Oryctolagus cuniculus: one gene and its partner. The protein of the gene in region 1 purifies or fractionates together with the protein of each later gene. This does not show direct contact. Links are inferred from orthologs where the notes say so. Each region holds a gene or a part of one and is shown in the gene's direction. Other genes may lie near its edges. The genes, in order: ANKLE2 and PPP2CB.

What was found.
Region 2: the proteins of ANKLE2 (region 1) and PPP2CB purify together in Homo sapiens (affinity purification with mass spectrometry; 4 studies listed by BioGRID and IntAct, counting the BioPlex papers as one, with this or other methods). This does not show direct contact. The link is inferred for Oryctolagus cuniculus from reciprocal best matches to the Homo sapiens genes ANKLE2 and PPP2CB.

What each region holds. Positions count from the first base shown.
Region 1 is NC_091452.1:807,411-823,155, forward strand, and holds the start of ANKLE2 (ankyrin repeat and LEM domain-containing protein 2), read left to right. Parts: upstream 1-7,339; 5' UTR 7,340-7,384; coding exon 7,385-7,565; intron 7,566-15,567; exon of another isoform or gene 15,568-15,662; coding exon of another isoform or gene 15,663-15,684; intron 15,685-15,745. UniProt on the Homo sapiens protein: Involved in mitotic nuclear envelope reassembly by promoting dephosphorylation of BAF/BANF1 during mitotic exit.
Region 2 is NC_091433.1:80,847,717-80,863,638, reverse strand, and holds the start of PPP2CB (serine/threonine-protein phosphatase 2A catalytic subunit beta isoform), read left to right. Parts: upstream 1-8,829; 5' UTR 8,830-8,832; coding exon 8,833-8,934; intron 8,935-9,592; exon of another isoform or gene 9,593-9,607; coding exon of another isoform or gene 9,608-9,646; intron 9,647-15,922. Other genes in the region: RNA guanine-N7 methyltransferase-activating subunit-like protein, read right to left, coding at 1-338.

The sequences.
Region 1 (15,745 bases):
ATGGTTTTGGCACAGATGAATGGACCTACCTCCTAGCAGAGCAGTGGCAGGCACTGTGAGGAATGTGGGTTGAATGTAGGCCCAAGGACTTAACAGAAGGCTGAGTGTCTAAAAGTCGCCAGGTTGCTTAGCAGTCTGACACCTGATAAAATTCTAAGAAGCACAGGATAGAACCTCAGCTCTTGCCATCTGTCTTGATGGATAAACATGATGGTTGTTAGGAGACTTTACAGCTGTTCCCAGACAGAAGAGAAAGAATTCTCAGCTGTCGGCAGTACCTAGTCTGAAGCACATTGATTGGGATTACTCTGCTTGCCATTATCTGTGGTTCCATTTGACAGGGACTGTTGGGGATTCTGGAAACAACATGCAACATGAAGTTGTCGCTGGACCTGCCTCTGCTCTTGGCTGCCATACCCTTTGTTCACCTGTGTGTTGGGTGCACCCAAAGCATGGTCCACTTCTGTGCATACTCAAGACATGTGGGCTCAGGCCTGCTGCCAGCACTCTGGCCTGGGACCTTTCTGGCCTGTCCACACGGGGAGCTTTGTCTCCAGCTAAAGTGCAGGCTGTGCAGACCGGCTGTGTGGGGCAGGGCGCTGACTGCCCCTGAGGCAGCACTTCCTCCCAGCCTCCTGGGAGTGAGGGTAGTGCAGGAAGCACCACCAGGGAGGCTCATTCACTCGGCCTCCCACAGGGATTGCAAATCTGCAGTGGATGATCTGGGCTTGCTTTTTTTTTTTTTTTTTTTGACAGGCAGAGTGGACAGAGAGGGACAGAAAGGTCTTCTTTGCCGTTGGTTCACCCCCCCCAATGGCCGCTGTGGCCGGCACACCACAATGATCCGAAGCCAGGAGCCAGGTGCTTCTCCTGGTCTCCCATGGGGTGCAGGGCCCAAGCACTTGGGCCATCCTCCACTGTGCTCCTGGGCCATAGCAGAGAGCTGGCCTGGAAGAGGAGCAACTGGGACAGAATCCGGTGCCCCGACCGGGACTAGAACCCGGTGTGGCGGCGCCACAGGCGGAGGATTAGCCTAGTGAGCCATGGCGCTGGCCCAGTCTGGGCTTTCTTACATGCAATATGGGCCATACGTCCCCTTCACAGTGAACTACTTGATCATGTCTGCATACCCTGAGTGCCAGAGCTCCCCAGAGGGACAGCCCCTGCTCCTACACCTCCCATGAAGCCTCTGAGGACCAAGTGTCACCCCCGTCACCCCCACAGACTCTGGGGCCCGGCGGAGTGCATCTGCCCAAAAAGTGCCTCACCGTCACTGGAGAGCAAACTGCTGTGATGGCCGTGTAGGCAGCCCCTTTCCACCAGACATGTCTGCCTCTGCCTTCCTGCCCAGCCCTGCCCATGGCCAGGGCTCTGGTCCTGCACCCTCTCCCTCCACCCCCGGCTTAGCTGTGGAGCCAGCAGGTGTCCACGTGGGCTCTGTGTCCGCCTGAGGGTCGTGAGCTCCCTGCTGCCGCCGTGGGATCACCTGGAGTGGGCTGTGTCCTGCAAGACCACCCCGCACCCAGTTTGTAACATCTTACATGGCTGGATTTCCACAGGTGGAGTCTTAATGGGCAGAGGTCCTAAATTAGAAGCCCAATTGATGAAAATAAAAGATGAAAAAAATCACTAATGATTCTCCACTGAGTCTGTTTCCTGTGACAAGTACTTTGTTCCACTACCTAAGTCTGATGTGGAGACTAAATGCAAACACATCTCAGTTTGCCTCGAGAGCTGTGACAGATTGCCGGGGAGCCAGCACTTTTTGATTCCATTCACAGCAGTTTATTCAACAGTCTGAGCTGTGTTCCTCCAGTCCTTGCTTCCTGCAGTCGTCCATGGAGGCATTCTCACAGCCAGGTCTAGAAGCCTGTAGGTTTTTTGTTTTGTTTTTGGCAAGAGCTTCCTCCCAGCCCCACCCACCCACCGCCGGCCATGCAAGGTCTCCCCCCCCACCCCGCGGCCATGCACAGTCTCCCTGGCCCCTCCCCGGCCATGCACGGTCTCCCTGCCCCCCACCCCCACCCCGGCCATGCACGGTCTCCCTGCCCCCCACCCCCACCCCGGCCATGCACGGTCTCCCTGCCTCCTCTGGCACCTCCAGTGCTGCAGCAGCAGCGTGGTCACACCACAGACAGCTCCTGTCATTCCTCTGCCCACACATTGCTGTGACCAGCAGGAAACTGGCCTCACAATCCATTTGCCACCTTCCACTTGCTTTGAATCTCGATTCCCAACCTGCTCTCCCCCTCTTCTGCGGAGGGAGATCCATAGGAAATATCAGTGCTTCCCACTCAATCACCGGGACTCGTGTGGGCCCTGGATCAGAAACTGAAGACATCAGGACTGGGCACGCACTCCCATGCAGCTGGCACAACCCAGGAATGCAGCCATCACTGCTGCCTCTTGAGTGTGCAAGAGCAGGAAAGCTAAACACTAAACCCAGACGCCCTGATGCGTGATGCAGGCCTCTTACCCAGGCACTCCCTAACCGCTAGGCTACACGCCTGCCCCACCCCGTCATTTCCCATTTTTAATCTTCAGTTGTTCCAATATGATTGGCATTGGATGGGGGTGAGGACCCCGCGCTGCCAGGAACCCCGTGTGAAGACACAAATCAGGGCCAGCGCCATGGCTCACTTGGCTAATTCTCTGCCTGCAGCGCCAGCATCCCACATGGGTGCCAGGTTCTAGTCCCGGTTGCCCCTCTTCCAGGCCAGCTCTCTGCTGTGGCCCGGGAGTGCAGTGGAGGATGGCCCAAGTGCTTGGGCCCTGCACCCCATGGGAGACCAGGAGAAGCACCTGGCTCCTGCCTTCGGATCAGCGCAGCGCCGGCCGTAGTGGCCATTGGGGAAGTGGACCAACGCAGGGAAGACCTTTCTTTCTGTCTCTCTGTCTATAACTCTACCTGTCAAAAACAAACAAACAAACACACAAATCAGGCCAGTGAAGCTGCCATGTCAGAGATGCCAGCGCTCAGGAGCTGAAACAAGCTTGTCTCTCCTAGAACATGAAGACGGGACTGACCAGGGCAGCTTCCCAGTGCTGAGGACGTACACTCTACCCATCTCTGCTTAAACCGCAGTTCACGTGTGGCCCCAGGTCCCGCCTTCTGTCTGCATTCCCAAAGTGGGAAGAGTCAAGGACAGGTGTCAGCCAAGGGTGCAGCTCCGACTGCTGTCTGCAAGTCTCTGTTAGTAACACAGAGCATGGGCACTGGGTAGCATCAGTCTCCACACAAGACACCATCTTTAGAATCAACTCTTTCGGGGCCAGCGCTGTGGCATAGTGGGTAAAGCTGCCGCCTGTGGTGCCAGCATCCCATATGGCTGCTGGTTCATATCCCAGTGCTCCACTTCCAATCCAGCTCTCTGCTATGGCCTGGGAAAGCAGTAGACGATGGCCCTACTGCTTGGGCCCCTGCACCTGCATGGGAGACCTGGAGGAGGCTCCTGGCTCCGTATCGGCACAGCTCTGGCCATCACGGCCAACTGGGGAGTGGACCAGTAGATGGAAGACCCAACCCCCCCGCCTGTCTGCCTCTCCTTCTCGCCGTGTGTAACTCTTTCAAATAAATAAATAAATTTTTTTTCAAATAAATATTTTTTAAAAATCAATTCTTTCATAACTACTTGGATTTGTGACTCAGAGGAACCAGTGGATGGAAAAATCTCTCTCCTCTGTCATTTTGCCTCTCAAATTAACAAAATTAACTTTTTTTGTTCTAAGATTTATTTATGGCCGGCGCCGTGGCTCACTAGGCTAATCCTCCGCCTTGTGGCGCCGGCACACCGGGTTCTAGTCCCGGTCGGGGCGCCGGATTCTGTCCCGGTTGCCCCTCTTCCAGGCCAGCTCTCTGCTGTGGCCCGGGAGTGCAGTGGAGGATGGCCCAGGTGCTTGGGCCCTGCACCCCATGGGAGACCAGGAGAAGCACCTGGCTCCTGCCATCGGATCAGCGCGGTGCGCTGACCGCGGCGGCCATTGGAGGGTGAACCAACAGCAAAGGAAGACCTTTCTCTCAGTCTCTTTCTCTCACTGTCCATTCTGCCTGTCAAAAAAAAAAAAAAAAAAAAAGATTTATTTATTTATTTGAAAGAGTAACAGAGGGCAGAGGCAGAGAGATCTTCCATCTGCTGGTTCTCTCTCTAATGGCTGCAATCAACAGGGATGGGCCAGGCGAAAGCCAGGAACAAGGAGCTTCATCTGGGTGTCCCATGTGGGCGCAGGGGACCAAACACTTGGGCCATCTTCTGCTGCTTTCCCAGGCCATTAGCAGGGAGCTGGATCGGAAGTGGAGCAGCCGGGACTTGAACTGGTACCTATATGGTATGCCAGCACTACAGGCAGCAGCTTTACCCACTATGCCACAGCGCCAGCCCCAAATTGATTAATTTTTAAATAGTTTGTAAAAAAAAATAAAACAAAAAACATGGATTGTGAAAAAATTATGCATGGGCTGCAAAATTTTTTGCGTCCAAATAAATTACCCTAAAATCCCGTTTTCCACAAACTTTCTGAAGCAGCCGTGTATGTGTAGAACTTAAACGTATGTTTATAAAGGCTGCAGTAATGGGTACAGTTCACTAAGCCCTTGGCGTGTGGTGACTCCAGAGAAGGGTATGCCATGCATCGCCTCACTTCCAAGATAGGTTCTATTAGTGTTGCCATGATACCACTGAGACATTCATCCCACAGGTGCACAGACGGTGCCAGCACGGTGTCCCAAGCCCACGCTGGCACAAACCAGTCAAAAGTACATTTACTACAACCAACATCCCAAACACCACGGCTCCGCGACCCGGGCACTGCTCCCTCCTGCCAGCAGGCTGCTGGGGATGCTGGGGCGAGCCCTGCACTGTCCCTCGAAATTCCCGCCTCAAGGCGCACTCCGCCCTAGGCTGGAACACTGAAGTCAAACCAGTGTCCCGCGGCAAGCGGTCTACATTAGTACACTCGACAGGTGGTAAGGCCTCTACTTCTTAAAATGCAGGCATAATGTACACTACAAAGATACAGATTTAAGGACAGAGCTCGACGAGTTCAGACGAACGTGGACTCCAAGACAGGACGCCGCATGCCTAGCCCAGGCGGCCCTGTCGCCATGAGCTCTGCCCATCCTGGACCCACGCACACAGAACCACTGAATGTGCATGCTCTTGTGTTTGGCGTCTTTCGCTTGGTATGTTATGTGTGGTTTCTGAAAAGATTTATTCGAAAGGCAGAGTGACAGCGTGGGCTCCCATCTGTGGGTTTACTGGTTGTAGGTGGGCGAGCCAGGAGCTCCACCTGGGCCTCCCACAGCGGGTGGCAGGGGCTCAAGAACTTGAACCTCCATCTACTTCTTCCCAGCTGCATTAGCAGAAATCTGCATCAGAAGCAGAGCATGAGAGATGCAGGCATCCCAGGAGGCAGCTTCACACGCTGAGCCACGACACTCACTCCCGCGTGGGCACCATCACACAACTGCACGACCTGTTCATCCATCCTCCTGCTGTGAACCTGCGAGCAAATCTACAGTTCCATCTCCAAGCCTCCTGGGATGCAGAGCTGAGCCACAGGGCAACGGCCTCAGCCTGTCCAGGGTCCTGGGACAAGGCACCATAAACACAGCAAATGGACTGGGGCAAGCGCTGACACAGTGGGCCAGGCTGTTGCTGCAGATGCCTGCATTCCGCACGAGTGTGCCTGGTTCCAGTACTGGCTACTCCATACTTCCAATCTACAGCTTCTGGCTGACGTGCCTGGGAAGGCAGATGACGGCCCAGGCACTTGGGTTCCTGCCACTGCCCTGGGGGACGGAGACAGTTCCAGGCTCCTGGTGGGAGCCTGGCCCAGCCCTGGCTGCTGCAGCCATCTGGGGAGCAAACCAGCAGACAGAAGATGGCTCTCTCTCTGCCTTTTTCTAAATACACAGAACAACTTCTTACAGCTGTTCTGGGTAAGTCCAGCAGGCCTGGTGTCGCTGAGGGCCTGTTTTCTGGTCCAGAGATGGCACCTTGCTGTGTGCTGGGGTCTCTCTCGGGCCTCTTTTATGTGGGCACTAAACCTATTCATTAGGACTCTGCCCCATGACCTCATCACCTCGCACGGGTCCCATATCCCATGATCGTCCCCTTGGAGTTAGGATGCCAATGTGTGGATTTGGGGGAGGTTGTGGTGGGAGGAGACACAAACATTCAGTCCAAACCAAGGAGCTGCCTTACTGTTTCCCAAAGTGGCCAGCGCTTCTTCCGGTCCCCCCAGCAACGTGTGAGAACCCCGAAGCTGCTGCACACTCACAGAATCTGATACCGTCAGTCCCAGTTCCCGCCGTTCTGCTGGGTGGGAAGCAGGACTTCCTTGTGATTTTTTAAGACTTTATTTGTTTGAGAGGCAGAGTTAGAGGGAGCGACAGGGGTCTTCCATCCGCTGTTCATTCCCCAGACTGCCGGCGCCGAGCCGAGCCGAAGCCAGGAGTTTCCTCCGGGACATCAGCCGCAGGGGAAGGCCGAGCCCACCGCGCCACAGAGCCGGCCCCTCTGTGATTTTAACCCGCACTTCTCCGCTCCTCGGATGGACCGACCCTTCCTCCAGGTGCCCCGTGGCCTCCCAGTGCCACTCAATGGCTTTTTGTTAAACCAAGCACAAGTCTGTCTTTGGGGTCTTTTACTTAAGTAGTCTCCCAGCGTCGGCAAGCACACGGAACTGCGCACCCGGGACCGAGAACGGCGCACGCCAAACCACAGGCGAGGCCCGCAGAGTTGACGGGAAGCACCGCGTCCCCTGAGCGCAGACAGCCGCAAGCCACGAACGAACGGGCCACAGCCGCCGGCGGAGCGGCCTCGTCCGCGAGGCGGGAGCAGCTGCGGGGCACGGGGCCTGCGTGCGGCCCTCCGGGCAGCTTGCAGGGCAGACGGCACCTCCGTGCGGCCCGCGCTCGACCTCGGCCCCTGCCCCGCACCGCCCAGCCCCGCAGGCCTCCAGCGAGCCCTCCGGCCCGGCCTGTGGCCCCCGGGTCTCTGGAAATCGCCCGGCTCTCAGGACCTGGGCAGGCTCCCCGCACCGCCCGGCCGCCACGCTGCCCGCCACTTACCGGCCGCGGAGTTCCACGTCCGCGAGCCTGCGCCGCGCCCGAATCAGGACCCCTGCGGCCGGGCTGCCCGCACCAGTCCCTGACAGCGCGCTGGCCCGCCCCGCGTCGCCTGGGGTGGGGGCCGCAGCCGCGCCCCTCCGCTGGGCCCCTGGGGGAGGGGGCGGACGCCCGGCCCCGCAAGCGCCGGCCCCGCCTCGCGCCAGCCGCTCCCGCGCGCGGCGCCGCCAGGCAGTGGCGCGGACAGCCCGGCGCGCGCGGGCGACGCAGGACCCGGGCTCCTCGGCGGCGGCGGCGGCGGCGGCGGCTACGGCGATGCTGTGGCCGCGGCTGGCGGCGACCGAGTGGGCGGCGCTGGCCTGGGAGCTGCTGGGCGCCTCGGTGCTGCTCCTCGCGGTGCGCTGGCTGGTGCGGCGGCTGGAGAAGCGGCCACGGGGCCTGGACCGCAGCGGGACCCCGGCCCCGCAGCCCTGTGCGGCTGCCGCGCCGGACCCAGGTGAGTCGGGCCGGCCGGGTGGGCCCCGCGCCCCTCGCCCGCCTCCCGGCGTCTGGGTGCCGTGCTGGGAGCTCTTGGACCCGGGCTCCGCGCCCCTCGCCGCCGCCTCCTCCGTACCTACCCCTGGCGCGGGAAGAGCGGTTGGACCCGCCGCGCCGGAAGCCGGGCGGGCTCGCCTTGGAGAGGCCCCTGCGGCCACTGCGCGGGAGCCGGTGCGGAGAGCCGGGAGCGGCGTCCGCGCAGCCCGCAGGGCGCGGCGCGTGTAGCTGGGGTGTCGGCGCCGACCCGGGAGTGCTGCGTGGACGCGGGCGGCGGGAGTGAGGCGCTCTGAGCCAGGTCGCTGGTGGCCGGGAGCCGCGAGAGGCGCCAGGGCCTGGGCCGCAGGCTCGGTGCCCGCGCTCGCCGTGCACGTGGGGCTGTCGGGAGGCGGCTGCGTGACGCGTCCCCGGCTCTGCGAGGGCGCCTCAGCGCGCGGAAGGCGCGGGGAGCTCCGCGCGGGGGCAGGTGTCTAGGTGCGGGTGTGCGTTCAAAACGCGACTGCACCGAGAAACCCCTCCCCGTGCTCCTCCAGGGGGACAGGCGACAGCCCCTTCCGTGTTCGCGGGGGACGGGTAGCGAAACTCGCAGCCTAGGGCTTCGGGTTGTCCCGGAGGCTGAGGGAACAGCCCCCGCGGCTGGTGGGCGTCTTGCTGGGGTCGCGTGTGGCAGGCGCCAGGCCGGTGCAGCTTTCCTCCTGCTGAGTTTTGCCTTTTCTTGTCCCCTTGGGAAAGCTTTTGGCAGCGCCTTTACACTTTTATTGATTGGAAAGGCAGAGAAGCGAGAAGAGAGACATCCCGCTGATTCGTTCCCTACACGCCTGTCATAGCTAGGGCTGCGCCAGGTCAAAGCCAGGCCTCCCACACGGTGCAGGGCCCTACCTGCTGCTGCCAGCGTGCACAGTAGCAGGAAACTGGATTGGAAGCAGAGCTGGGACTTGAACCCAGGACTCCAGTATGGGATGCTGGCACCCCAAGCAGCAGCTGAACCCCTGCACTTCAATACCTGCCCCAGGCAGCACCCTGAAGAAACAGCACATTTGCTTGTCGTCTGCATCGTCAACAGCAGACGCAGACACGCAGACGCAGCGTGCAACGCCGGAGGCTGGCACTGAAGCCTGTTTGTTGGCTGGTAGGGAAGGCCCGAGACACAGGAGGCTGTGGGGGTTTTCCAATGAGAATTTCACTTTGACTTTTCATTTTGGAACCATAGGCTTATAACAGAGTGGAAGACTAGTGCAGAGAAAATAAACATATCTGAGAAGGTCTCTGGTGTCCTTCTTCTCTAAGGAAATACAGAATACAGCCACGATGAACTAGCACGCACACCTGTAGTAAAGGCTAAACTTTATTTATTTATTTTTGACAGGTAGAGTGGACAGTGAGAGAGAGAGACAGAGAGAAAGGTCTTCCTTTGCCGTTCGTTCACCCTCCAGTGGCTGCCGCGGCTGGCGCGCTGTGGCCGGCGCCCCTCGCTGATCCGAAGGCAGGAGCCAGGTACTTCTCCTGGTCTCCCATGGGGTGCAGGGCCCAAGCACTTGGGCCATCCTCCACTGCACTCCCTGGCCACAGCAGAGAGCTGGACTGGAAGAGGGGCAACCAGGGCAGAATCCAGTGCTCCTACCCGGACTAGAACCTGGTGTGCCGGCGCCGCAGGCAGAGGATTAAGGGCTAAACTTTAAATGTAGCGTATTTCCAGTCGGCAGAGTGCGTGAGTGGTGCAGCCCCTCTAGAAATCAGTCTGGCCATTTCTCAGAGAAGTTAAACCTGCCCTGCACTCCTGAGCTTTGTTGTAGAGAAATGAACATTTTTTTCACACGAAATCTCATATGTGCGTGTCACTCTAGGGGTGAATGGCTAAATAGACCCTGTTCCGACCACAAGTGCTACTCCTCAGGGTGGTTGGGGCTCAAGGGCCCAGTGCAGAGTGAGAAGGAGCAATACTGTAGGTGTGTACTGGATTCCGTTTGTATAGCATTCTTACAGTGAAAAATTATAGACAACAAATTTGTGGTTGCCAGGGGCTGGGGCCCATGGAGGAGATTGGGTGTCACTGTGAAGGGGCAGTAGGAGAGAGGTCTTTGTGGTGATGGACATTTCTGTGGTGATGGTCACACACACTGTCACAGAACTGGGCACAGATACACACACACTCACCCCTGTTAGAATGGCTCACATACAGAAATCAACTAACAACAGATGCTGGTGAGGATGTTGGGGAAAAGGCACACTAACCCACTGTTGGTGGGAATGCAAACTGGTCAAGCTGCAATGGAAGACGGTTTGGAGATTCCTCAGAAACCTGAATATAACCCCACCACACGACCCAGCCATCCCACTCTCCCGGAATTTACCCAAGGGAAATTAAATTGGCAAATAAAAGAACTGTCAGCACCTCAGTGTTTATTGCACTCAATTCACAATAGCTAAGACATGGAATCAGCCTAAATGCCCATCAACATAAGACTGGATAAAGTACACCATGGAATACTACACAGCACTAAAAAAAATGAAATCCAGTCATTTGCAACAAAATGGAGGAATCTGGAAAACGTCATGCTGAGTGAAATCAGCCAGTCCCAAAGGGACAAATATGTTCTCCCTGATCTGTGACAACTAACTGAGCACCTAAAAGGAAACCTGTAGAAGTGAAACTGACAGTATGAGAAGCAATTTGCCCGCAGCCCAGGAGGTTCAAGGTGTTGTGTCAGTGTCAGCTTCTTAAAGATTTTTGTTTTTTAAAATTTATTTACTTGATAGGCGTAGAGACAGGCAAAACAAAGAACTTCCAGTTCATTCCCCAAATGCCTGCAATGGCTGGACCAGACCAAAGCCAGGAGCTAGGAGCCAGGAATTCACTCCAGTATTCCTCCTGTGTGGTAGGGACCCAGGTGCATGAGCCGTCACCAGCTGTCTCTCAGAGGCATATCAACAGGAAGCTGGGTCAGAAGTGGAGACAGGACTGAGAGCCTCTGATACGGGAAGTGGGTGTCCCAAGTGGCGTCTTAACCTCGGAGCCGCAGGTTCATCCTGACACCTTTTCTTGACTCCCCAGTGAGGAGCTCGCTTTTGCTTCGCCCTCAGTGTACACAAGGGAGAGCTCAGAACTCCCGAGCCAGACTGCTGTGTGGAATGCATTGCTGGACTGTGGCAGGTCTGGTTAGCTTTGGGGTACCTGCTCACCTGCTGTTTCCAGAACTACTTAGAGGAATATCCACATACACTACCGTGTTACTCATATATACCAAGGTGCATGTTTTGGTTTGTATTGAGTTTATTTGATTTTTTTTTTTTTAAGATTTATTTATCTGAAAGGCAGAGTTACACAGAGGAGAGGCAGAGAGAGAGAGAGGTCCTCCATCCTCTGGTTCACTCCCTAAATGGCCACAACAGCTGGAGATGGGCTGATCCAAAGCCAGGAGCCAGGAGCTTCTTTTTGGTCTCCCACATGGGTGCAGGGGCCCAAGGACTTGGGCCATCTTCTGCTGCTTTCCCAGGCCATAGCAGAGAGCTGGATCAGAAGTGGAGCAGCTGGGACTCAAACTGGCTTCCATATGGGATGCTGGCACTGCAGGCACAGTGCTGGCCCTTTGATTTTTGAGTATATGAATTACCAACATGTTTCTGAAAGTCAGGACCCTAAAACACTTGCAGTCAAAAGTGCTGTTCCGGGGCCAGCACTGCGGCGCTCTAGGTTAATTCTCCGTCTGCGGCGCTGGTATCCCATGTGGGCAACGGATTCTGTCCCGGTTGCTCCTCTTCCAGTCCAGCTCTCTGCTGTGGCCTGGGAAGGCAGTGGAGGGTGGCCCAAGTGCTTGGGCTCCTGCACCCGCATGGGAGACCAGGAAGAAGCACCTGGCTCCTGGCTTCGGATCGGCACAGCGCCGGCCATTGAGGCCATTTGGGGAGTGGACCAACGGAGGGAAGACCTTTCTGTCTCTCTCTCTCTCTCACTGTCTAACTACCTGTCAAATAAATAAATGAAAATCTTAAAAATAAAAAAAGGTTGGCCGGCGCCGTGGCTCAATAGGCTAATCCTCCACCTTGCGGCGCCGGCACACCGGGTTCTAGTCCCGGTTGGGGCGCCGGATTCTGTCCCGGTTGCCCCTCTTCCAGGCCAGCTCTCTGCTATGGCCAGGGAGTGCAGTGGAGGATGGCCCAGGTGCTTGGGCCCTGCACCCCATGGGAGACCAGGAAAAAAGCACTTGTCTCCTGGCTCCTGCCAGGATCAGCGCGGTGCGCCGGCTGCAGCGGCGGCCATTGGAGGGTGAACCAACGGCAAAAGGAAGACCTTTCTCTCTGTCTCTCTCTCTCACTGTCCACTCTGCCTGTCAAAAAAAAAAAAAAAAAAAAAAAAAAAAAAAAATTAAAAAAAAATAAAAAAAGGTGCTGTTCCCCACACCTTTCTACTCCCAGTGTTCCCCAGACTGTTCTGCTTTGTCCTTGGCTTCCTTGTGTGCATGAAAGCAGGCTCTTCTGTTAATGATTACAAATACTGGAAACAGTGTACTTTTTAAAAGTTTCAACTTGACTTTCTAGCATATTAAATACTTATTCTCAGAGATTACTAAACCTGTGTTCCTGCGGTAGCTTAATAGCTGTAGTAGAGATTTACAAATAACTTGTCATGTCAGACACAGTGATACAGATTTGAATGTGTTTATTTTGACTGATTTCTCAAAGTAGAGTTATTATAGTGTGCACTTTATAGATGAGGAAAGAGAGTCTTAGCATTTACACGGTTTGATTCTGTTGTAACAGGGATTCCATGTATTTGTTCTGTTAGGGATCCCTCTCAAACCCAAGTTAAAGGGCTGGCCTTGGTATAAGGATGCCTGCTGCCCAGGAATGCTTGCTGGCGGGTCTGCTCCTGCTCACCTTGCCTGCAGCTGTGGGCGCCCTCTGCCTGCTCTGCCCCAGAGTCCTTAGAGCCTTCGTACCACTTCCCTACACCTAGCCAGAATTGGGCTTAGTGCTCACCCGGTCAGAATCTGGGGTCGTTAGGCCTCCCCTTCCAGTCCTTGGCAGCTTTATAGGGGACTGTGTAATACGTTCATTGTTTCAAAGATCAGTATCCCAGTTCAGATAATGAAGAGTCATTTTTAAAATCTTTGTGGAGTTGGCATTGTGTTACTCTGAAGTAACATATTTGATCTTTTCATTTCCTCCTATACAACTCCTAAATCCTTGAATCTTCAAGGCCGTGTCTTTTTCTGTATGCTAATGAGCTGACTGATGGCCTGCAGCCCCTGGGTAGCATCAGGATGGGTTCTGGGCTGGTCACAGTAAGGCCAGAGGGCTGGGACTTTCAGTGCCACCTCCCTGTAACCAGGGAGGGGAGAGGAGGGACTGCCAGTTGAGTCCATCACCAATGCCCATAGCTGGCTGGCCATGCCTGTACAATGAGAGTTTCTGATCTGCTCTGAGGAAGTTCCTGGAGATGGCCCTGGAGAGCCCAGGGAAGCTCCGTGCCCTGCCCTGTGTGCCTCCACCACTGGACTCTTCATCTGTATCTTTCATGATATCCTTTATAATAATAAATGGGTAAGCTGATAAGCTGCTCAGAAAAATTAATCAAATGCAAATGATATGCACAGCCTTGTATGTTGGCATTTTCTGGGGGAGCGTCTTGTTGGACTGAGCCTCCAGGGAGACAGTGCCGGCTGCAGAACTGACTGCTTGCTTTGTGTGTGGAAAAGACCCATATCGGTGATCACAGCAGCCTTCCTGTGACTGGTGCTGACAGAGCAGGAAAAATGCTTCAATATTCTTTCCTCCTGTATCCATGAGGAATTATAAAACATGCTTTTAAATTAAAAAAAAAAATACACAGAACTAGATGGGTGCCCCTCCCATGCACCTGGCACCAAGAAAATTTTTTTTTGGTTTTAATTTTTTTTAAGATGGCTTTATTTATTTGAAAGAGTTAGAGATAGAGGTCTTCCATCCTATGGTTCACTCCCAAATGACTGCAATGGCCAGGGCTGGTCCAGGCCGATCAAGGAGCCTGGAACTCCATCCAGGTGTCCGTGGGTTGCAGAGGCCCAAGCACTCGCACCATCTTCCACTGCCTTCCCCAGTACATTAACAGGGAGCTGGGTGCCATGTGGAGCAGCTGGGACTCAAAACCGTGCTCATATGGGATACCGGCCTCACAGACCCTGACTTAACCTACTCTGCAGTAATACCAGCCCCATAGCAGGTGATAATGTTGTAGATGCCCCGTGCCCTCTGTCTTGTGTCCTGCTGAAATTCAAAGCTAGCCCTGCATGTCCCGTTCCGTCATCATTATCGGTGAACACTTCTTAAACTCCTCTACTGTGGGGCCAGCGCTGTAGCATAGCAGTTAAAACTGCCAGCATCCCACATGGAATCCCAGCTGCCCCACTTCCGATCCAGCTCTCTGCTATGGCCTGGGAAAGCAGTGGAAGATGGCCCAAGTGCTTGGGCCCCTGCACACACATGGGAGACCTGGAAGAAGATCCTGGCTTCAGCCTGATCCATTCCCAGCTGTTGTGTCCTGTTGTGGAGTGAACCAACAGATGGAAGATCTCCCTCCCTCTCTCTAACTCTGACTTTCAAATAAATAAATCTTTAAAAAGAAAATAAATAGCCAGTGCTGGCATCCCGTATGGATGCTGGTTTAAGTGCCAGCTGCTCCACTTCCAATCCAGCTCCCTGCTAATGGCCTGGGTGCTTGGGCCCCTGCTACCCACATGGGATACATGGATGAAACTCCTGGCTTCAGCCCAGCCCAGCCATTGCAGCCATCTGAGGAGTGAACCAGCAGATAGAAGATCCCTCCCCTCCCCCTCTCTCCCTGTCTCCCTGTCTCTCTCCCTCTCTCTCTGTAATTCTGACTCTCAAATAAATAAATAAGCCTAAACAACAACAAACAAAAAAACAGCAACAACCCTCATTCCATGGGCTCTGTGTATGTGCTAGGTGCTTGTGAGTGGCTCTGCTGTTGAGTCTGGAAAAGAATTTCCCTCCTGGCCGGCGCCGCGGCTCACTAGGCTAATCCTCCACCTTGCGGCGCTGGCACACCGGGTTCTAGTCCCAGTTGGGGCACTGGATTCTGTCCCGGTTGCCCCTCTTCCAGGCCAGCTCTCTGCTGTGGCCAGGGAGTGCAGTGGAGGATGGCCCAAGTGCTTGGGCCCTGCACCTGCATGGGAGACCAGGATAAGCACCTGGCTCCTGCCTTCGGATCAGCGTGGTGCGCCGGCCGCAGCGCGGCGGCCATTGGAGGGTGAACCAACAGCAAAGGAAGACCTTTCTCTCTGTCTCTCTCTCTCACTGTCCACTCTGCCTGTTAAAAAAAAAAAAAAAAAAAGAATTTCCCTCCTTTTGTTCTTCTGACTCCTTCTTTCCCAGCATCTAGACTAGGAAAAGTGGGTGTTACCACAGGCCTGTGTTACAGTCCTTCCAGCCTCATCTCGGGTGTCTGATTGTCCTGTCGTTAGGGCCTCCCTGTTGCTGCAGCAGTAGTCTGTGCCCGCCTGTTCTACCTTCTCCCTAGTCCAGCTGGCCACACAAGCCTGTAGAGCAGGAGTAGGGGATGGCCGTAGAAGTCCGTGGAATCATTGGCCTAGCCAAGGCAACCACAGGTAGGGCTTGAAATGCAGTGAATTTATGGCAGGCTAGTTTTTAAGTTGAAAACTGTGTGTGGCCTTGAATGATGCCACACTGTAAATATACTCAAATGGCCCCTGCTGCATAGTGAATGGCATACGCTTAACCTGTACACTGATTAAAGGTGCAGCTGTGGTTCAGATCCACTTGATGTCTCTGTCACTTGGACAGACCACTTGGCCTGTCTGTGCTTCAGGATGTTCATCTGTAAGGTGGGGGCCGCGGCGCCCTGCCCACAGGGCTGTTGAGACCGTAGCGCTTGGAGCTGCTCAGCATCATAGAGCAGAATGTGCCAGGGTGTGTGCAGCCTCTCTGTGTAAATCTCTGCCTAGTTGCCCGTCTCTTTGTGGGGAAGAGTGCAAGTGTGTCTGGTTTCTAGAGTTAAGACTTCACAGATGCTGTCAGATGCCTCCCGTGGGACTTGTCCCAGATGACACGGCAGTCAGCCTCGGGTAAGTGTACCTGTAAAGCTGTGTGCTGAGAACGTAGTGTGGTGGTGACACGGACGGAAAA
Region 2 (15,922 bases), on another chromosome or scaffold:
TGCTGGTTGTAGCCGCAGTGTCCGTACTGGTGGGGGTAGTAGGGCTCTTGCCTCTGCTGCAGGTAACTGTTACCCCAGGACCGGCCGCGCCACGGATCCGACCGACTGTCACCTGGCCACCCTCGTCGTCCGCCGTCCCTATCTCTAAACTGTCTGTTATCTTGCAACCAATTGCCTCGATTCCTCTGGCCCCCGCCTCCTCTGCTACTCCACTCCTCAACAATGGGAGGGGTGTCAGGGGGGCGTTTCAGATATGCCTGGTATTCTTTGTCATCTTCTGTGAATCTACTGGCAAACATCTCTTCAAAATTTTTAACAGCTTCGGAAGTGTCAGTCATTCAGAAATTCCCAAGTATTCGAGGCAGCTGTACCGTTCAATGTTTATAGATCGTTTCAATCCGCTAAGGGCTGCGTCCACCCAGCTCTAGCCGGACCTCGTCGGCGAGTCCTGCAAGAGAAGCGGCCCCGGCCCCCGCATACAGAGACTCTAAATAGTTGATTTTTATATTCTATATACAGCTGACTCTACCATTCCACTGCTTGTAAAGACCTAATTTCAGAGATGTTGAACAGAAAAAAAAATCTTACAATGAAACATTATATGTAATATGGGGAAATGGAAATTAAATCAATAATCCAAGAGTTAGAATAAACACCAAACTTCTTTGGAATATTAGAAAAGGACCCCTCTATCCACTGTAATATATGCTGTACATGTATACTGGGGAACAAGGAGTTTAATTACAGTGCAGAATTTCTAATTGACATGATAAGAAGGTTCCCGAGATACTAGTGGTGATGGACAGGTGCACAACACTGTGAAGACACTTAATGGCTACTAGAATTCTCTGCTTTAAGACGGAGGTGGAGGTGGAACCAACGGCAAAAAGGAAGACCTTTCTCTCTGTCTCTCTCTCTCACTGTCCACTCTGCCTGTCAAAAAAAAAAAAAAAAAGAAAAAAAAAAAAAAGATGGAGGTGGGCATTTGGTGCAGTGGTTAAGACACCGTTGGGGCACCTATATCCTGTATCAGAGTGCCTGGGTTCAAGTCCTGGCTCAGCATTTGATTCCAGCACATCAGTGATGACTCAAGTGCTTGGGCCCCTGCCACCCACAGAGGGAGACCAGAATTGGGTTCCAAGCTCCTGGCTTCAGCCTAGTTCAGCCCCAGCTGTTGCAGGTCATTGGGGAGTAACCCAGCAGATATAAGATCTCTCTATCCCCTTCTGTCTTTCAAATAAAGTGAGAATAAGTTTTAAAATTAGTAAAATGATACGTTTTTACCAAAATCACCAATGAAAATGTATTGCAGAGATTTTAGAAAATCTACAGTAAATCCTGTATTTCAGATATCTGTATATCTACAGCATAATAAAATACATAATCTTGGGTTGAAGGGCCATTTGGAAACAGTTTTAAAGGCATAATGATTGACAGGATCAGAGAGAGACAGGGGGGTGGGGCAGAGAGAGAAGATGGAGGTGAAGAGCAGACTGGGGTCAGACTACTTGTCTTCTCAGCTCCAACCAAGTGACCGCACATCAATCACTCATCTGTACCTCAGTCACCCCATTTTAGAACAATGTTAATAGCACTTACTGTACAAGGTTCTTACGAAGGACGTACATGAGGTAATAATCTAAGCATTTAGAATACTACCTGACGCATAACAAGTACTTTTATTGTGACATAAGACTTGAACTTCTTGTATGCCAAAACTCACGAGCAAATGTGAAATCTCAGTCACTCACTGGATAGAATATCTGAAACATACATCAAGCCACTTATAAGTCAACAATGAGGAACGAAAAGTGTAAAATAATGTACACTCCATTCACAAACACAAAATATCTAAATGTCAAAAATACATGAACAGGGGTGGGTGTTTTGTGCAGTGGTTAAGCTGCTCATTGAGATTCTCACAGCGCTATCCCCACTGCCAACTCCAGTTTTCTACTAATGCCATACCCTGGGTGGCAGCAAGTAACAGCTGAAGTACTTAGGTCCCTGCCACCTGTGTGAGAGGCCTGAACTGGGTTCCAGTCTCCTGGCTTCGGCCTGGCCCAGCTCTAGCTGTTCGAGGCATTTGGGGAGTGAACCGGCAAGTGAAAGATCTTTGTCTCTATTTTTCTCTCTTTGTTTTACAAATAAAATTAAAAATAAATTTTAAATAAATGTATATAAACAAATTTAAATATATATTAACAATGCTCAACCTCTCTATTCATCAAAAAATGCTTATTTTTCAGCTATCATTTAGTCAAAGCTTAAAGTGGATAGTATCTAGTTGAGTCCTTTGGGCACGTGTTTAGATATAATAACAAAATCAGCAGAGGTAGCATAAACAATTAAGAGTTCTATTTTTTTTTCTCATAACAAGACTGCAGGAAGACATACCAGCACCACTGGTCTGGCTCCACAGTATCATCAGGACCCCACTCAGGAGGTTTTCTTCCTTGCTCATCCCTAGATGTGGCCTTTTGCCTCAAGTCTTTTTTCCGGTGATCCTCTCCACAGTGAGTTCCAGGCATAAGCCTTTTGAGTCTACTCCCTTTAACACACTTTCCTGCAAAGCCCTACTCAGCTGCTTCTCCCTACATCCCTTCACCAGAATTAATGCCATATCCCCACTCCTAGGCAATGTTCAAGTGGGCATTTTGCACGCCAAACAGAATTGTTCATTTAAAAAAAGTAAAGTGCACATTGCTAGACAACTAGAAATCTCGGCTATATTAGGATTAGTTGGAATTAAAAATGTGATGTTGGGGCAGGTATTTGGCACAGTGGTTAAGATGCCGCTTAGGAAGGCTGCGTCTCCTATCAGAGTGCCTGAGTGTGAAACCAGCTCCACTTCCCATTCCAGCTTCCTGCTAGTGCACACTCTAGGAGGCCTGGTACATGGGAGACCTGGGCTGGGTTGTGGGCTCCTAGCTTCGGCCTGGCTCAGCACTGGAGTGAACCAGCAGATAGGAGATGTGGTACGACATTTTAAAATAGGCAGGTCTGTGTTCCTTTGGTGTCAGAGGAAGAGGAAGATCTGCATGGGAAAAAATAGTTCTGACGCTTGTCTGTGAAGATCAGAGGTCTCTATGTGCATGGAGGCGGGAAAAAAGTTTCATGTGGATGTAAATATTAAGTCATGGAACCAAGAATGTGCGGGGCACGAGAGGGAACAGTAACTGTTTAAGTAAAATCTATTAAAGCATGCGATGGCTTAGGGATGGCTTCAGTTTGTCCCCCAAGGATTCATGTGCTGGAGGCTTGGTCCCAAGTGCTGGTGCTGAGGTGGTGGGACCTCCAGGAGCTGGGCCTGGTCCGAGGAGCTTAGGCTGTTAGTGGTGCTGCCCATGGAAGAGATCAAAGTGGTTGTCGTGAGAGCTTGATTGGATTGTTACAAAAAAAGCAGGCCTGACCCATCCCTGCGCTCTGGCTTCCTGGCTCTCTCTCACTCCCACCACGATGCCGTCCCCTACGATGTGACGGAGCCTCATCACAAGCCAAACAAATGGGGCCTCGTGGGGCTGGCACTGTGGCTCAGTGGGTTGAGCTACTGCCCGTGGCCCCAGCATCCTGTATTAGAATTCGAGCCCCAGTTGCTCCACTTCTGATCCGGCTTCCTGGTGATGCACCTGGGAAAGCAGTGAAAGATAGTCCGAGTGCTTGGGCCCCTGCCACCCATGCAGGGGACCCAGATGGAGTTCCAGGCTCCTGGCTTATTCTGGCCCTGCCTCAGCCATTGCAGCCATCTGGGGAGTGAACCAGTGGATGAAAGCCTTTCTCTCTCAAATAAGTAAATCTTTTCAAACAACAATAAATGGAGCCGGCGTCGTGGCTCAATAGACTAATCCGCCGCCTTGCAGCGCCGGCACACCGGGTTCTAGTCCCGGTCGGGGCGCCGGATTCTGTCCCGGTTGCCCCTCTTCCAGGCCAGCTCTCTGCTGTGGCCCGGGAGTGCAGTGGAGGATGGCCCAAGTCCTTGGGCCCTGCACCCCATGGGAGACCAGGAAAAGTACTGGCTCCTGCCTTCGGATCAGCACAGTGCGCCGGCCGCAGCGCGGTGGCCAAGGCAGCCATTGGACGGTGAACCAATGGCAAAAAGGAAGACCTTTCTCTCTGTCTCTCTCTCTCACTGTCCACTCTGCCTGTAAAACAAAAAAAAAAAAACAAAAACAAAAAAAAAAAACAACAAAAAAAAAACACACACACACACACAATAAATGGGGCATCTTGCTATTACACTTTCAGTGAACCAGTGGATGGAAAATATCTTTCTTCTCTCTCCGTATCTCTGCCTTTCAAATAAATATATTTTTTAAAATAAGGTATAATTTTACTGTAGAATATAACTGTGTACATTAAAAGATATGATTCACATTTCATATTCTTACTTTTTAAAAAAGATTTTTATTTATTTACTTGAAAGCCAGAGTTGGAGAGAGGTAGAAACAGAGAAAGCTTCCATCTCCTGGTTTACTCCCCAGATAGCTACAAAGGCCAGGGCTGGGCCAAGCCAAAGCTAGGAACTTCAACCAGGTCTCCCACATGGGCAGCAGGGGCCCAAACATGTAGACCATCTTCCATTGTTTTTCCCAGGCTATTAGCAGGGAACTGTATGGGAAGCGGAGCAACTGAGACAGAAACTGGTGCCCATATGGGACACCACACATCACAAGTGGTGGCTTTACCTGCTATGCCACAATGCTGGCTCCACAGTTCATATTTTTAGATGGTGTAGTACACCAAGAAAAATACCAACATTTATATATACATTAAAAGCAGCCTAATGAACTGTGTAGGAATAAAATCTTAACATGTAATAAATTTTAAAGCAAAGGATTTGCTGAAGTCAACAATTTTAAAAATCTTTGGCCAAGAGGAGAAAGGTAAACAGAGTAAAAATGAAACCACTTCTAGAGAACAAAAAACTTGAAACTGGCCTACAAATCTAAGATTAAATACGGTTTTATATGGCAAGTAATTTTTTATAGTTGGAAACAGGAAACCTATATGCCAAGTAATTAGCAAGGACTGGGAACTGATGACTGTGTTCTGTAAACACAAACACAGGGGCCGGAGCTATGGTATAGCGGTTAAAGCCGCCGCCTGCAGTGCCAGCATCCCATATGGGCGCTGGTTCAAATCCTGGCTGCTCCACTTTCAATACAGCTCTCTGCTCTGGCCTGGGAAGATGGTCCAAGTCCTTGGGCCCCTGCACCCATATGGGAGACCGGGAAGAAGCTCCTGGCTCCTGGCTTTGGATCAGCCTAGCTTTGGCCCCTTGCAGCTATCTGGGGAGTGAACCAGCAGATGGAAGACCTCTCTCTCTCTCTCTGCCTCTGCCTCTCTATAATTCTGCCTTTCAAATAAATAAATACATCTTTAAAAAGATTTTAAAAATACACCCTAATATGTGCGTACATATGTAAAAACAAAGAACAAAGAAAACAAAGAATTCTAGTTTCCATTTTTATTGACTGATTTTCATCTGCGTGAAAGGCAGAGTGACAGAGAGAGAGAGAGAGAGATAGAGAGAGAGAGAGAGAGAGAGAGAGAGAGAGAGAGAAAGTATCTTCCATCACTGGCTCATTCCCCAAATGCCTGCAATTAGCAAGGGCTGGCCCTAGTCCTAGCCGGGAACCAGGAACTACACCCAGGTCTCATACCTCCCAGGATGCTGGATCAGAATTGGAGTGGCTGAGACTCGAACCAGCACTCAAATATAGAATGCAGGGTGTTCCACACAGTGCCTTAGCCCACTGAGCCACAGTGCCCATTCCTCTAGCTTCTGGTTTTAATTATGATGACTTCACAAAGGAAAGAGTGAAAACTGATGTGGCAAAGATCAAGCCTTTGTCACTCTGCCACCCTTGGCTTTTCTTGCTCCCGCCCATACTAAAGAGGCCATTTTTAAGCATGGACGTGGATGTCAGACTGACAGACACGGTGTCAAGTCTACTCCACCAGTACTGTTTGTGTGACTTGAACACGTTTTCATACCTTTGCATGTTGGTTCTCTTATCTATCAAATGCAGGATAGCAACACCTGCCTCACAGGCTTATTGGAGTATTTAAATGAGAACATACATATTAAATACACAGTATATAGAAAGTGCTCCAGGGGCCAACGCTGTGGCATAGCAAGTAAAGCCACCGCCTGCAGTGCCGGCATCCCATGTGGGTGCTGGTTCGAGTCCCGGCTGCTCCACTTCTGATCCAGCTCTCTGCTGTGGCCTGGGAAAGCAGTCGAAAATTTCCCAAGTGCTTGGGCCCCTGCACCCTCGTGGGAGACCCAGAGGAAGTTCCTGACTCCTGGCTTCAGATATGTGCAGCTCTGGCTGTTGTGGCCATCTAAGGAGTAAACCAATGGATGGAAGATCACTCTCTCTCTCTCTCTCTCTCTCTTCTCTCTCTCTCTCTCTCTCTCTCTCTCTCTCTGCTTCTGCCTCTCTGGGACTCTGCCTTTCAAATAAATAAATAATCTTAAAAAAAGAAAAATGCTCCAAAAAAGCATCCTGATTTATTCTTCAGCACTATTTGATTAAACATTCTGGAAGTATTATTTTCACAAGTTCACCTAAGCACCCCCCCAACTCCAAGAACATTGTCGCAGATTAATTCCAAACACACTTGCTTCTATTTCACCCATCTTCCTCTCTAACCACCATCTATAGTTTCCATTTCTCTTCAGGGTACATTTTCTGTTCTCAGCCCATCTACTGTAGGAATTCCAGAAATATTCTCAGTCTGCTTTTCAGGTTTAGGTGAACTTCAGCCTCCGGAGAGCGAGCAATGTCTACTACGATTGTCCAGGTACCCCACCTTTCCAGCATCTGCTCATCGCTCCATTGGTTTGCTACCTTTTACAAGTTGCTTGAAAGCAAGAACCCTTCCAGCCTCATTTCCCACCATGTGACCTATTTGTGTTGCTGGGAGTATTTACAGCTTTGCAGACAGACAGTGGTCTTGGGTACATCTGTCCTCTGGTACACACACACACACAGATTCCTTAAAACTTCTTTCCTGTTCTCCAGGCAGCTTCAGGGTTTTGCGGAGGGGGGGGGGGGGATTGGAGGAGGATAAGTTTCAAAATTCAGGTTGGGAGTGGGCATTTGGTATAGCAATTAAGCCCCCCACCTTGGTATGCTACAGCCCATATCAGAGTGCCTGTGTTCAGTACCAACCTCCTAGTAATGCACACTAGGAGGCAGCAAGTGATGGCTCAAGTACTTGGGCCCCTGACACCCATGTGGGAGACCCAGATTGAGTTCCTGTCTTATGGCTTGTTATGTGGCCCAGCTCTGGCCGTTTGAGGGCATTTGGGGAGAAAACCAACAGATGGGTTCTCTCTTAACATTCAGAGCAGGCATTGTGGTGTAGCGGGTTAAAGCTGTTGCCTACAATGCTAGCATTCCATCAGGGAGCCAGTTGGTGTCCCGGCTGCTCCACTTCCAATCCAGCTTCCTGCTCATGAACCTGGGGAAAGCAGCAGCAGATGGCCCAAGCGCTTGGGCCCCTTCCACCCATGTGGGAGACCCAGATGTAGTGCCTGGCTCCTGGCTTCAGCCTGGCCTAGTGCCAGCTATTGTGGCCAGCTAGGAGTGAACCAGTGGGTGGAAGATCTCTCTCTACCTTTCCAACTTTTTCAAAATAAATAAATGCTTTTTAATAATTCAGTTCAAAATGCTCCCATTCTAAAGCTCTTTGAAAGTGTTCCCCAGGACAGTAAAAACAACAGACACATGGCTCCCATGGTGTACCACGGGACAGGCACTTTCAACCTCTGACTCTCAGAGCCTGAGAAGGGAAGCTGATGCTTGAGGAGGTGTGGCGACTGCCAGGTCAGGAACACTTGCCCTCTCACCCAGGATGCCGCCTCCCTCTGGGGTTCCGCCCAGCACTGCGAATCTCTAAGGGAAGAAGTGTGGGTGGTTAGCATGTGCCGGACAAGGTGCCTGGCCAGCAGCCGGCAGCCGGCACCAAGAGCGTGTTGACCAAATCATTACACCTCGGTAAACACTGCTGGAGCTGGAAACGACCCAGACGATCGCACAAAACAATCATTTCATCTTCCCGATATTGCAAGCGAGCGTTCGAGACACCCGGCTAGAAGAAATTTATTCTGTAAATAATTGAATGCCTGCTTCGGAAGAGTGCCTGACGCTGGGGAGAATAAAATTCCTTGTCCAGAGCGGCGGAAACGCACTGCGGGAGCTTAAGGTGAACACGAAGTTGCCCTAGGACAAGATGTTGGGGAAGAAATCAGGGGAGCCAAGACCAGGCTGGGAGGAAAAGACCAGAGAAAGCAAGAGGACCGGACAGGCGCCCCCGACCCCGGGTCCCCAGGGCCGTTTCTCCGCCGAGCCACGCGAGGGCGCTGCTCCGCTCCTCGCCGGCCGTGCCCCGGCGGCGCCGCCCGCTCGCCTCTTCCCGGCGGAAATGCCCGGGCGATGACGGAAACCCTCAGGGAGGGGAGAGAAAGGGCGAGAGGGTAGGGGCTACGGAGCCGGGAGAGGGCGGCGGGCGGCGGCAGCGGTCGCGGGCGGCCATCGCCCGGCGGGAGCTGCGTCCAGAGCGTCCTCGCCGCGCTCCCCCACCCCCCCCCCGACCCCGACCCTTCCGCTTCCCCCACAGACTCCCTGGGCGGGGACGGACGCGGGGTGCCCTCGGGGAGCCGCCCGCTGGACTTGAGCCGGGTGCGGGGCCCGCGGCCACCCTCCCCAGCTCCTTCCTGTCCCGCTCGGGGCTTGGCGGCGGCGGCGGCGGCGGGTGAGGGGAGCGGCGCCCGGGGCGGGGGCGGGGGCGGGGGCGGGTGGGGGAGGGGAGCGGGCCGCCATGGACGACAAGACGTTCACCAAGGAGCTGGACCAGTGGGTCGAGCAGCTGAACGAGTGTAAGCAGCTCAACGAGAACCAAGTGCGGACGCTGTGCGAGAAGGTGAGGGCCGGCCGGGGAGGAACGCGGGGCGCTGGGCGGCGGCGGCGGCTCCCCTGCCCGGCCTGGCCGCGGCTCCGCGCCGGCCCCCGACGCCGCAGTCGGCTCGGGGCAGTGCCCGCGCCCCCGCGCTGCCGACTCGGGTGTCCGCCGGGAACGGGCGTGACGGCCCGAGAGGGACCCGACCCCGCGTCGTCGGGGTCGGCCAACTTGCTCCCGCGCGCCGGAGCGGTGGGCGTGATGGCAGACGGTGGCTTTTTTAAAATAGAGGTGCGCGCAGATGGCGCCCCGCACGGCGCGCGTGGATTGGCGGCACCCGCGCCGCGAGGCCGGAGCTCGGGGACAGTTCGTGGAAAATGCCTATAAGGATTAAAGACTGCTCGTGGATTTAAAAATCGGTTTTTTACACCAAAAAAAAAAAATTTCTTAAAGTCCCGTCCTGTGAGTTGTCATGCAGGGTGGCACTTTTCAGAAAGTTGTTTCCAGTCCCCAAACGGGGGTAAACCCTGCAGGCAGTGCATTGTTGTCAGGTGTCTGGTCTTAGCTTTCTGAATTCGGAAGCCATTGTTTTGTGAACCCGTGGAATTCTCACCTGTGCAGGTGGTGTACTTGAGAGCCTCCAGTTGTTCTTCATTCATCATTTGCGCTGTGGACTAATTAGTTTTCATGTATTCGTATGTTGGAAAGTCCCCTTGGAAGTCCACGAGGTACTGGAGTAAGGAGGTTATTTTAGGTTATTTTCTTAAATGTGTTTGAAAGCCCGCATACCTCAGAAAAGCACTGAGGAAGTAATTTTTTAAGCCTTATTAGTAGGGCACTTTTAAAAAAAAGACAGATTTATTTATTTGAAAGGCAAAGTTACAGAGAGGAAGAGAGAGATCTCTCATCTGCTGGTTCACTCGCCAAATGGTGGGGGCCCTGCCCGAGCCAGGAGCCGCCTCCAGGTTTCCCACGCTGGTGCATATTAGCAAGGAGCTGGATCAGAAGTGGAGCAGCCAGGACTCAACCAGCCTCAGTCATCAAGTAAAGATGTCACCCGTTACATCACAGCACAGGCCCCAGTAGGGCACTTTTTAAATTATGCAACTAAAGGATGGAGGGGTAGCCACTGTTTTTAACAAGTGCCCAGGGAGCTTACATATTGAATAACTACATGTTATTATTTCTGCAGATAAAAGTGAATTTGAATTTATTTCTGCAGATAGAAGTGCCACAGAAATGGTATATTTCTCTTCCTGAAGCAAACTGCTTGCTTGTACCTTCATTCCACATTTGTGTGTGTGTGTGTGTGTGTGTGTGAAAACCTGTGATTTCATGGGTCTTACAATTTACGCTTTACTAAACTCTCAAGCTCCAGCATCAAGTTTGAGTAATTAGCTGAATTGGTTAACCTCCCTGTGAACGTCAGATACAGACTTGAAGTTATGACTAAAGTGGTAGTTGAATCAGTTTTTCTTTTTGACTTTCTAATAATTTTAATTTCCTAGAGGAGACTATTTTACCAGTACATTGATAATTGCACTCAAATCTTAAATCATGCCAGGAAACTGTGTATTTATCGAGAGATTATTTTTACTTCACCTCCTAAATAAGTTGAACTACCTAGGATCTTACAGCTATAGTTTACTTACGCGTTGACCTGTTCTATCTTTGATTGTAGTTATCCACAAAATGTGAAGCTCAAGTGAAGATCGCCTTGCATTTGTGTTTGTGCTCTGTGCACTTTGATAGAGTTGCCAGTGGAGCAGAGTGCCAGTAGTTCAGCAGCTCTCAGTGTAGCCGCCTTGTTCTGGCAACTATGGCTTACTTTTGTGGCATATGTGGTGCCTCCGTATCTGTGCTGGATTGGTCCAGGTCCTATAAGAATACCAAAAGTCCCCATGCTCAAGTCCCTTTTATAAAATGTGCAGTGTTTGCATGTAATGTACATACCTCCTCTTGTGTATATATATATATATATATATATTTTTTTTTTTTTTGACAGAGTTAGAGAGAGAAAGGTCTTCCTTCCGTTGGTTCACTCCCTAAATGGCTGCTACGGCCGGCACTGCGCCGATCCAAAGCCAGGAGCCAGGAGCTTCTTCCTGGTCTCCCACGCGGGTGCAGGCGCCCAAGCACTTGGGCCATCCTCCACTGCCCTCCCGGGCCACAGCAGAGAGCTGGACTGGAAGAGGAACAACCGGGACTAGAACCCGGCGCCCATATTGGATGCTGGTGCCGCAGGTGGAGGATTAGCCAAGTGAGCCACGGCGCTGGTCCCTCTTGTATATTTTTAATCATCTCTAAGTTGTAACACCTGATATGAAAATATTATGTAAATGGTTTTTATACTGTGTTTTTAGAGAATAAGAAATAGAATGTCTGTGTTCAGTACAGAGGCAGTTTTTCCCCCATATCATAATTTCTGGTTGGTTGAATCTGAGGATATATCTCTATGGATATAGAGTACCAACTAGGTACTAACCTAGGGTCTACCTGTAGTCCTTAGTTCTGGTTTTATATCCCTACCTCATGCTTGTTGTTAATAACAGGTGTAGCGTTCCACCCGTCTGGATTCAAATTGTGCTCCACTTGCTAGCTGCCCATCTGGCACCTTTGACTTCTTACCTGCCAGGCAGGGATCATATTCACTGATCTCTTGAACTGATTATATTAAGATGGTGCCCGTGTGTGGGGCCGACATTGAGACATAGAGGGTTTAAGCTGCCTCTTGTGAAGCTGGCATCCATATCAGCACTGGTTCCACAGGGCTTCTGGCTTGGGCTTGGCCCATCCTTGATGGTTGCAGCCATTCAGAGAGTGAACTAGTGGATGGGAGCCATCTCTCTCTCTCTCTCTCACTCACTCACTCTGCCTTTCAAATAAATAATTTTTTTTTAAATAAGTACCCCATGTGACGTCCTGACAAAAAGTAAAAGTCAGTGAGTGTTAAATGAGGGAAAGCTAAAAATGTGGATCTTGTGTTAAATGCCTTATCATTTTCTTTAGGAAATAAGTGCAAAATAAATAGATACCACTTCTGTGGTGAATCAAAGGGGAATGTATGTACAGTGGCTATAGGACCCTGAAAATTAGTGTCCTCGTTATCTGAAGCACAAAATTCTGAGATGAGTGTCATCTTTAATTCCTTGCAACTAGATTTTAGTTTAACTTTTTATTACTTTTTTATTCTATTGGAAATACTATATAGGAAGTTACACTCTATGGTGATGGTTTTTCAGTTAGGATTAATTTCCTTTTCTAAATCAGATTGCCTTAAAACAAGGAGTCAGCTGACCTCAAGACCAAAGGAGTACTAGTAAAGGCCTATTGTGGGGTAGTGGAAGAAAGAAAATCCATTGTAGTGCCAGTGGGCAAATGACCACAAAAAATAGTGGGATAGTGTGGTGTGTCTGCATCTGAGGTTACTTCCTGTGTAGTAAAACACTGCATAAAATAGTAAGGCATATCTTCTGAGAAGACTAGCTAGTAACACCTAATTAGTAAGCCAGCTTTGGAAGCTGATCGTGAATTTGACATCCCTAATGTCTGCAGAGAAATTGGGTGTGTGATTCATTGTTGTCACAGCAGTATGCACAGGAATTTTACAACTGATCTGGTGCTGTTAAGGACATTCTGTGATGAGAACTGTATCTAACTGTTGTGTCCAGAAGAGTAAAAGTTTAAAAATAAAAGAGTAAAAAGTCTTAGGCTCTTTGTCCTGGTAAATGCTATGACTGAAGAACCCTGATTATGATTCTCTAGGTGGGCAGGGAAAATGAGCTAGTTTGTGTGCTGGCAGATCTAATTATAAAAGCTGCTGAGGAAAACATTGAGGCTTGTGCAGGAGATGAATATGGACTGATGGATATGTTTCTGGGTTCTGGCCTTGAAATAAGTGAAAATACCTTCAGCATGTTACTTCGTTCTTAATGTGAAATGGTATACTTAAATTCCTGAATGCCCAAAACCATCTTAATGAAAAATGAACTGGTAAAAATGAACTGGTTTTGTTAGTCGAGAAAAATCTTTTAGGTTATTCTTTGTGATAGGTTCAGCTTAAGAACAATAATGATCTTGAAAAAGCCTAATCAGTACTTTCATTTTTAATTTTCCCTCTAACAAAGATTAATGCCAGCCTTGGTGGTCCATTGACAAAGTCTGAAATGCAGTGATGTAGAAAACAGCTCCTTTCTTTCTATAACAAAGAATGCCATGATTGCAGTGGAATACAAGGTTGAGACCCAGTTCTACTGACTGAACAAAATGATTTCATGCTATCTAAGCCAACTGCTTTAGCAGACAGGTTAAGATACTAATCCAGACTAGACTGACATTAAGTATTGCTAATGACTAGGAAACAGACTTTGTTAAATCACCTCATTTCTGGACCATGTGTGATGTGTAAAATCATGCACATAGGTCGATAAACTAAAGATGTGTATATTTTAAAGTTTCTTTTTATTTAAGTTTTATTTGTCATATATACTTTTCATTGTAATACAAAGATTCTGCAGAAAATTTTCTTTCGGCCTTTTCTTCAGGACAAATGCTATGAATAACTTGGCAAATGAAGTTCTTTGACAGAAAACCAAAATGCCAGAAATTGAAGACAAAACTAGTGCTCATAGGCCGGCACCGCAGCTCACTAGGCTAATCCTCCGCCTTGCGGCGCCGGCACACCGGGTTCTAGTACCGGTCGGGATGCCGGATTCTGTCCCGGTTGCCCCTCTTCCAGGCCAGCTCTCTGCTGTGGCCAGGGAGTGCAGTGGAGGATGGCCCAAGTGCTTGGGCCCTGCACCCACATGGGAGACCAGAAGTACCTGGCTCCTGCCATCGGATCAGCGCGGTGCGCCGGCCGCAGCAGCCATTGGAGGGTGAACCAACAGCAAAGGAAGACCTTTCTCTCTGTCTCTCTCTCTCTCCCTGTCCACTCTGCCTGTCCAAAAAAAAAAAAAAAAAAAAAAACTAGTGCTCACTTTATTTTTGCGAATTCTGTTTTCGAAATTTATTTTTTCCTAAGAAAATGGTATTAAAACCACACGTTTAATCAAATATGTATGAAAAATGTGAGTTCACATTAGATTAAATAGGAATTTTCAGTTGTTTTGAACTGATTCACTTGTAAGTTCTCCTTCCAGTAAATGTAATGAAATATAACCCTAATCTAAAGGTAACTCATGTGATGACTTCTTTCACACTCGCTATCCCTGAATAGTTGATTGTTACCTAATACTTCCTGCACATTACTTTTTTTTAATTTTTTAGATTTATTTATTTATTTGAAAGGCACAGATACAGAGAGAAGGGGGGAGAGAGATCTACCCGCTGGTTCACTCCCCAAATGACCACAAGGTTTGGGGATAAGCCAGGCAGAAACCAGGAGCCAGGAGCTTCTTCCAGATCTCCCATGTGGGTGCAGGGGCCCAAGCACCTGGGTTGTCTTCTGCTGCTTTCCCAGGCGCATTAGCAGGAGGCTAGATTGGAAATGGAGCAGTGGGACTTGAACCCTTGCCCATATGGGATGCCAACACTGCAGGTGGAAGCTCAAAACCTTCTATGCCACAGCACCAGACCCCCTGCACATTACTTTCAAGCCCGAATTTCTTTAATAATTAGCCCTGAGAAGGCTGTCTGTACATTACACATGGAATTTTCCTTTCTAGGGAATGAGAAACTCAAGTCCAGGCTTGATTTGTTGTGTCTTTTGTAAACTGGGGCGTTTTATCATTCTTTGTAAACTTAGTATTTGACAGAGATACTTTTTTGATTGAAAGAATTAAAATACAATTTGAGTTATAGCCTGAGTTTTTAATTGCACAAGGGAAGAGACACTTTGAGCAGAATCCAGGAGGAGTTAATTTTTTTTTTTTTTTTTTTTTTTTTTTTTAAGGTTTATAGATGCAGAGAGAGAGATCTTCCATCTGCTGGGTCACTCCCCAGATGGCCACAACGGCCAGGACTGGGCCAGGTGGAAGCCAGGAGCTTCTTCCTGGTCTCCCACGTGGGTGCAGGAGTCCAAGGACTTGGGCCATCTTCTGCTGCTTTCCCACGTTTCCCACATGCATTAGCAGGAAGCTGGATCAGAAGTGGAGGAGACACTACTTGAACCAGCGTCCGTATGGGATGCCAGCACTGCAAGCAGAGGCTTAGCCTTTTATGCCACAGTGCCAGCCCTGGGGCTGATGTCTTTAGTCTCCAGTTTCTCCAAACTGAGACCTAGCATTATAAATACAATTACCTCTCTCTATATATAAAAATAATGTAAAGCCAGCTTCATAAATCCAGTTGTTACACTGTCTGCTGGTTGGACTCCCAGAGACACTCTTTTTAAGATGTGACATTCAAAGGGTTGGGTTAATTCTTCACTACCAGATTTTTATTTCATAACAGATTACAGGTAATAAGAACTTAATAGATAAAAATAATACCAAATTACTATAAAGAAAATATGGGTGAATTTATTATCAGAATCATAGATTATGTACAGTGTGTGAGTTTTTTTTCCCCCTTATTGAGCTGGCTTCTTTGGTTTAATTTTTTAAAAAGATTTATTTTGAAAGAGTTAGAGGGGCCGGCGCCAGCATCCCATATGGGCCCTGGTTCAAGACCTGGCTGCTTCACTTCCAATCCAGCTCTCTGCTATGGCCTGGGAAAGCAGTGGAAGATGCCCCGAGTCCTTGGGTCCCTGCACCCACATGGGAGACCTGGAAGAAGCTCCTGGCTCCTGGCTTGGGATCGGCGCAGCTCCAGACATTGTGGCCAATTGGGGAGTAAACTATCGGATGGAATACCTCCCTCCCTCCCTCCCTCCCTCCCTCCCTCCCTCTCTCTCTCTCTCTCTCTCTCTCTCTCTCTGCCTCTCTCTGCCTCTCTCTGCCTCTCCCTGCCTCTCCCTGCCTCTCCTCTCTGTAACTCTTTCAAATAAATAAATCTTTAAAAAAAAAAGAGAGGTCTTCCATCCACTGGTTTACTCCCCAGATGACCTAAGTGGCCAGCACTGGGCAAGGCT